2 linked regions of the Bombyx mori genome follow. The protein of the gene in region 1 binds, or shares a complex with, the protein of each later gene. Links are inferred from orthologs where the notes say so. Each region holds a gene or a part of one and is shown in the gene's direction. Other genes may lie near its edges.

What was found.
Region 2: gamma-tubulin complex component 2 (region 1) and gamma-tubulin complex component 4 share a complex: the UniProt entries of both Homo sapiens proteins name them as parts of the gamma-tubulin ring complex. The link is inferred for Bombyx mori from reciprocal best matches to the Homo sapiens genes TUBGCP2 and TUBGCP4.

What each region holds. Positions count from the first base shown.
Region 1 is NC_085119.1:10,560,612-10,564,441, forward strand, and holds part of gamma-tubulin complex component 2, read left to right. Parts: coding exon 1-160; intron 161-822; coding exon 823-1,111; intron 1,112-1,449; coding exon 1,450-1,565; intron 1,566-2,140; coding exon 2,141-2,312; intron 2,313-3,830. UniProt on the Homo sapiens protein: Component of the gamma-tubulin ring complex (gTuRC) which mediates microtubule nucleation.
Region 2 is NC_085125.1:5,636,532-5,640,607, forward strand, and holds the end of gamma-tubulin complex component 4, read left to right. Parts: intron 1-540; coding exon 541-703; 3' UTR 704-737; intron 738-827; exon of another isoform or gene 828-2,109; intron 2,110-2,200; 3' UTR 2,201-3,344; downstream 3,345-4,076. Other genes in the region: uncharacterized protein LOC101745013, read right to left, coding at 3,391-3,502. UniProt on the Homo sapiens protein: Component of the gamma-tubulin ring complex (gTuRC) which mediates microtubule nucleation.

The sequences.
Region 1 (3,830 bases):
AACGAGCTAATTAATAAAGAAGAGCTGCCTGTAGATTATTCTGCTGATTATTGGGAGAAGAGATATTGTATACAAAGCGACAGAGTACCGAAATTTCTCGATAAGTTCACTGACATTATTCTTCGAACTGGAAAATATTTGAACGTTATCAGTCAGTGTGGTAAGTTTTAAATTTTGATAAAAAAAGGTTAAATGCTTTTATTTGATCATGTGACAGATAACCTTTGATAATGTTACACCTGAGATATCAATCTTTAATTAAATCCCAATTTATAGATAATGAAGTTCAATGACATCAAAGACAAAATAAGGTCAGCTATCTATTATTTCAGCTTATCACAATTGGTTCTACTATTTTATAGATATCTATGCGATCGTCATAAGATGAAATTTCAATAAATAATTAAACTAAATAAGTCTGGTTATAATCTATGCTCTAAAAAGTTTTGTATTTTTGGTACATAATAAAAAGTTTATTGAAAGGAAAGAACGCCTTAAGAAGTTTCACTTCAAAAAGCAATCCAATATGTAGGTATTCAATCGAATATCCTTTGTTAAAGCGTTGTCAAATGGACAAAAAAAAACAGTAACATAGTCTTTATTACAACTATGCCTAAAGTATATTTTTATTTTGTCACCTAGGAACATATTATCCCATATATGTAAATTACCATTCCATATTCACAGTTTCTGTTTTCGCGGCATATTTACGCAACACATACCCCGCGAATAAAGAGCTTTTAGTGTACATACTTATTGATCTTTTAACAGTGAAGTGTTGGAGTCGATCGCACATCGTTGGTAAATTTTGTTACGTTTCAGGAAAATCAATAAGCAAGACGAACACAGACGAAATAAAATACTCACTAAGAGAACAAAACTACGGTGCTATAATACAGAAGGCTTACGCTTTCGCAAGTAAATCATTGCTGGAGCTACTACTCAAAGAATACGATCTGATGGGTCGATTGAAGTCTGTCAAAAACTACTTCCTAATGAGCCAGGGCGATTTCATTGTGCAATTTATGGATGCGACCGATCAGGAGTTATCGAAGAAGATAGACGACATTATACCCTCCAAGTTGGAGTCACTTCTTGGACTTTGTCTTAGGTACAGTTTTATTTTTTTATTTTCCTATTTTGCAAACTTTACTAAAAAAAAAGCGCCTGTTTAATTTTACGTTTCCTTGTTACCCGGTTCGTTCCAAATTTGCTTTGTTAACTTTTGTATCTGTAAGACATTAGCTCCGAATTAAATAATTGTATTAATTGTGCAACAATCCAAACAGTGTTTTTTTCTTTTTTGCTAAATTTTGCAATTAAGATTTTTTAAGATTATCGCATCAGAATATTCTATTATATTATTCCCGCGGTCTTCTTTTTTGAGAACTGTACATAATGTATAGTTAGAATAAACAGCCTAGGTTAATGAAACTGTATTCTCTACAGGCTCTCCGCTGCCAGTCATGATCCATATAATGAAGACATGAGAGTTGAACTCCTTCCGTACGATCTGCAGTTCCAAATGTTCAAAATCCTATCCATAGAAACAGAAGAGGAGGAAGGTACCTATAATATTTAAAAATAGAGATAAATAAAATAAATATATAAATACTTGTATGAGAAACATCAAATTGTTTGCATTATTCGCGCGTTAGCCGTCGCACGTACATGGTTCTATGATATAAGTCATCCCTAAAGGGCCAAAAACGACTACTAAGTTTCACCACAATCGTATGTATAGCTTGGAAACGCATAGAGGACTAAACATACAAAACGTTTTTTGTTGTAAACCCGAATATAATATAAAAATGAAAATCACTGTTGAAATACTGCTACTATTAAAAATAATAAAAAAATTTATTGAAGAATTTACTTTATTCATTTAATTGCACAACATACAAAATGTATCTACTAGATTCATTTAAATTGTTTATTCTTAAGATAATTAATATGAATATTATGTTTGAAAAAAGTCGTAACATCAAAAGTTCCAGCAGATGTTCATTGTACGGTATAAAAATATTAGTTTTATTGTCGCTATAAAGAGAAAATAGGCGAATATGTTTGTTTTATATATATATCGAATAATATTATTTTTTCTATCTTGAATATTTATCTAAATTGTTTAATATTTCAGAATACAAACACAACAAAGATTGTCCTCCGTTGACTGGCATAGAGACATTCTCGTTCGGCATGGAGGTGAAGTGGCCGGTGTCCTTAGTGCTCAACCACAAGGCCATCGCTTGCTATCAGATGATATTCAGACATCTCTTCTATTGTAAGCACGTCGAGAGACTACTTTGCAAGTTTGTATTCCGTTTTAGATCTATACTATCATAAAACTGTAACAATAGTCTGTAAGTTTTACAAAGATATATTGACTAAAACAAAAAAAATGAACAATTCAAAAATCAATTGTCTATCAACTCGTGGCTACTGGTATACATAGCAGAGATTGTGCCATGAATCATACATGCCGCATAAATGTAGGACAAAATTAATTGCACAATAAATTAACAACATATTTTTATGAAATCAAACCTCAAAGTTATTCTTACAAAATTACCTTCCATTTTGTTAAGGTTGCTAAGCAATAATGGGCTCCGGTTTCAGAAGATATTTTATTTTAATAAAATTATTAATACTTCGGACCTCGTCTCTTGAGGTATACTGCGACGTTTCGGTCGCTGTATGTTACTCTACAAGCACAGTAACAAACAGGCTACGTGATATTCACAAGTGCTCCTCACGAGTGGCCCCAAACCTAATCTATGACTTTTGGTCCTCACCTATCTCACGGTCTTGTAGTCTTATTTTTTTAAACTTTTTTTTTGCCCTTGTAGGCAGACTAGCGTACGGTCCACCTGATGGTGAGTGATTACCGTCGCCCATGGACTTCAGCAATGCCAAGGGTAGAGCCAAGCCGCTGCCTACCGTTAGTCTCTCATGCTGTCTTCGATTTACTTAACTATCACAATAAAAAAAGTATATACTATCTATATGTAAAGATACTATATTTTTTATAGTACTTTTGTACAGCATTCTATAGCTCCTATGTAATCATATAGATGGCGCTGTCGATAATGGTGACATGCATTGCATATTGTAGGGTTGACGTCTGCCATGTTCGGACATATTGTTACTTTGTTGGTATTAAATTGCATAATTATTATAAGGAATTAAGAGTGGTGGATTTTAAATGTCGTTTCTTCGTTTTCACGTGAGATACCTATTATAGGTTTGCAATGTGATTGTACTGTTACTGTTACTGTTGTGTACTTTTTAAGTTATTAAAATAATAAAATCTTTGTTTTCAGAGCAACGCCATGCTTAGTTACTTAGTTTAGTTAAACTTACAATTCCTGTTTATAATTCCTAGTAAATTAAATAGAAAAAGTATTTTTTTAAGGGATTTTATGACCTGGTAACTAATACTTTTAAGTCATGTCTTATTTTAATTAATATTCTTAATTTTATGAAAAATGATAATATGGAATGAAATGAAATGAAGATGATTAATTTGAGACATTAATCAACTGGGATAAAATTAAATGAAATGAGATGATATGGGATGAAATATAATCTCAGTAAAATGGTGCCAGTCGTTTACTGAGATTTTTTTAGTGGACTTTTTGGAGGAACCCGAGAAGTTATGTCCAGCAGCTTTGTTTCATTTTCCCACATTTGTGCACTTTCACAGATATTAAACAGTTAATAAACCACCGTTATTACACATTTAAACCTGAAGAAACACTAAATAGACAAAATAAAACAAATCACACAACTTCACTCCTCGCGTTCCCGCCAAAAAGTCCCGGAAAAGT
Region 2 (4,076 bases), on another chromosome or scaffold:
CAAACTCTTCAGCTTTATAATATTAGTATAGATTAGATTAGAATAGTGTACATAGACAAAATTGAAGAAAAAAAGGCATGCATGTATTTTGTCCACAGTAAAATTTCAGTGTGCATTTCACAACAATTCAAAACAATTCTTCCTGTTTTTGCCACGTAACCGTCATGCGCTCCGATTCGAAGGGTGGGACATGCGCTATACATTTGAGGCTTCGACCTCATGCCTTAGGACGGGTGGCGACCTTCAAGTCCTAATTTGTCGACGTCCAGATAACCAGGAGACAGAGTTCGTTCTGGCCCCAACGGCCATCCGTTCTACGAGCAATGTGTCCTGCCCACTGCCACTTCAATTTCGCAATCCTTTGGCCTATGTCGGTTACCATGGTTTTCCAGCAAATCTCCTCATTTCTGATTTGATCCGGGGAAATTCCGAGCATAGAGCCCTCTCCATTGCTCTTTGGGTGACCTTGAGCCTTCTCATAGGGCCTATTGTGAGCGACCACGTCTCAGTGCCGCGATCCTTAATTAATATACTTTCTAGGTTCAACAAATTAGTGAAGCAACTAATGCAACTTCTAGTTTCGCTACGAGATCGTCCGTGCGGCGTTTACTTAGCGAGACTTCTGATGAGACTCGACTACAACCGGTGGCTCAGTAGAGAGGCGCAGTTAACGCAATCTGTAACGAACATGTTAAGATACTGATGAGGGTTTACTCACCACTCTCAACATCGGAACGGTAAGTTTAGTTGGATTCGTTTGCAGTTTTTCGTTAACTCTTTACCTCTTAGAGCTTTTTTTAAACTCATTCGTGCTTCACTTGTTTTAGCAGGAGTTAAGAAAACTTAGTGTTTTATTATAAAGAAAACAAGGTGAGGTTAATACAGTATCTATTTCGCATGTCACGGTGAGCATTTCTTTATAAGTGAGAAATCGGTTTACCTATCAAACGAAAGAGTAGAGGTTTTTTTACATAAGGGTTTATCTCCAATATTCCACAAAGATGACTCCCGGTAGCGTATTCCCATTTCCGTGTTCACTATGAGACAGTACTGCCATGAAAGACGCACGGGTTTATCGCGCTAACCGCCCTGACAAATCCGTGTTCAATTTAAAGCGCCCGTCCTGAAGGATTCGTAATTACGTGTTTAGGTATGGTAATGGTAAACAGTCGACGTCGCTCTAAACACGTCATTACGGATCCTCCCGACCCATTAACGGTGCTTTTAGGTACATACTACAAGCACCGGTCAACGTCCTCGCCGAACCCGTCGCTTGCGACGAACGGAGAGCCCTTCGTTGCAAGTACGAGTAAATTAACCCATAGACACATGCCACTGAGTTTCTCGCCGGATCTTCTCAGTGAGTCGCGTTTCCGATCCGGTAGTAGATTCTGCGAGGCACTGCTCTTGCTACCACTTCGATAAAGCGGCACGACACGAGAACCCTCTCATCGTGGCCGCCGGTAACTACATTCCCGATCCTGCGGAGAGAATGGAAAGCAGTCAACGTCGCCCCAAGCACGTCATCTCGGATCCTCCCGATCCACTAACGGTGCTTTTAGGTACCTCAAGCACCGGTCATCGTTCTTGTGGAACCCGTCGCTTGCGAAGAAGGGCTCGACGAGTAAATTAACCCTCAGACACAGCCCACCGAGTTTCTCGCCGGATCTTCTCGTGGGTCGAATGGGTCGCGTTTCCGATCCGGTGGTAGATTGAGCGAAGCACGGCTCTTGCTAGGGTTCGTGTTAGCAACGTCGTCAGGTTTGAGCCCCGTGAGCTCACCTACTAGTTAAGGTTACGCTGGAATAGCCTCTCAAGGCTACCAGCTTACGTAGGAAAAAAAAAAACTCTTGCTAGGGCCAGTGTTAGCAACACTCCGGTTTGAGCACCGTGAGCTCACCTACGCGTCAAGGAGAAGCTGAAATAGCCTCTCAAGGCTATCAGCATAGTTAGAAGAAAAAAAAAACAATTGCGCACGGGTTTACAAGGAGTATGCGCATTGATTAAGCGAGACAAATCCGTGTTTGTTTGAAGGAATTTTAATTAATGGGCAAGTTTGGTATTGTATTGTAGGCAATCAACGTAAGTAGTAACATAAACAAAAATAAAGAAGTCATTTTATAAAATATTTTTTTTTAGCAGGAGGCTCATTATCAATATTACGAGTAGATACAATATTATGAACACCTTTTCTTTTCAGTTTCTGACTTGGCTGGTCGTTCTCGAATCGAATTTTTCCACTGCATAGCAGATCTCTTTCTTTGCGGCGAGCGATCGATTTTGGTTGTACATGAATTTTTCGAGATTTTCATCGAAAAAATTTTCAACTACAAATGACATAATACTCGATGGAGTAAGAATAAGTAAGAGTTGTAAGAATGTTTGTATATGCAGCATTTGAATCATTTTCCAAGATATCAGTAATTCTTTGCCACTGAACTTTAATATTTTGAACAGCACAGTCAAAGTTTTCATTGTTGATAGTTATACCGTTTTCAGCTCGATTTATTGGAAGTTCAAAAGTATCTGGTATAGCAACATTTGGTGTAATGGAGCTATCTGGATCTGAGTCAGAGTTGGCTGTATTCATTATTTGTGCTTGGTTCAGCCGTAATATCTTTAAGGAATGACAGTGAAAACTGGTCACCCAGAGCTGATTTCGCAAATTGTTGACGATCATAGTCATTTAAATGTAGCGATGCGGTACCTAAGTACAGTTTCATGTTTCCTTTCTACAGCGCAAATATGTTTAAAAAATCGACCCCCAGCACCATACAGACAGATCAGTTTTCTCTTTCACAAAGTAGGTATTGTCATACGCGAACTTCATGGCTTAGTCCCGTGTCGCCTTGAACACGTGTTTAGAAGAGCATTTGGCATTGCAAACCTGTGCGCGATTGGAGGAGGCGCACTCTGAATTTAACAAGAGTTTGTAAAGGCTGTTAGCGCGACAAATCAGTGCGTGTTTATGGCAGTACTGCGTCATAGTGAACACGGAAATGGAAACACGCCTCCCGGTAGTAGGAGGGTTAAATTTTCATGTGATACGGTTTTTGGAGAATCCGTTATTAACAAGCTTTATGATATTTATTAGATTGTAGAAATTCGAATGATTTTATAGAGTATTATGCTTTTGACTCATTAACATTTTGATATCTGAATTAATTTCTAAAGAGAATGAACCCATATTTTTAAGTTTCAACTTAAAATAATTGCGTAAGTATCAGATGTTTAGTTTTATAATGGATTGAATTCTTACACCTTATTGTCACCATGTGTATTTATGTAATGAATGCCAAATGTATTATAAATTAATGATTTTAAAATAAAACTTGTAACATACATGATTCTGATTTCATTTTATTTAATTTATAAAAAACAGATTGATGTTTAATGGGACTCCATGAATGCTTTAATCAGTATGCATTTAGTCATGTGACATGAGCATGGTTGTGGGTGATCGACAGCTTCTGGATCCAGTAATGTCATCTGTAAATTGTATCTGAAAGAAAAAATGTAAATTAATAGTATCACCATGATTTGATTCTTTTTTTTTAAATTTTTTTTTATTGCCTTTGTAGGCAGACGAGCATACGGCCCACCTGATGGTGAGTGGTTACCGTCGCCCATGGACTTTAGCAATGCCAAGGTCAGAGCCAAGCCGCTGCCTACCGCTTAATACTCTCCACAAGCCTCGTTTGAAGAAGGACATGTCATAGCGCTCGGGAAACACCGTGGAGGGGAGCTCATTCCATAGCCGGATGGTACGTGGCAAAAAGATCTCTGGAAACGCACTGTGGATGACCGCAGTGGCTCCAGGTAGTATGGATGAACTCTACTCCGGTGGCGGGCGGTGCGATGGTAAAAAAAATCTTATTTAAAATTACGCTATTACATTTAGTTTGTTTTAATTTATTTTCAATATCGTTTTTATAAGTCATAATGAAAACAATTTGCATTTTTTCATCACAAAAGTTCTCAAAATATTTCTGTAGTAAAAACTAAACCTTTCTGGTGTGGATATCGTTAATGTGTGGAATACACTTGATGAAACTCGCGCGCCACTTGTGTTTATT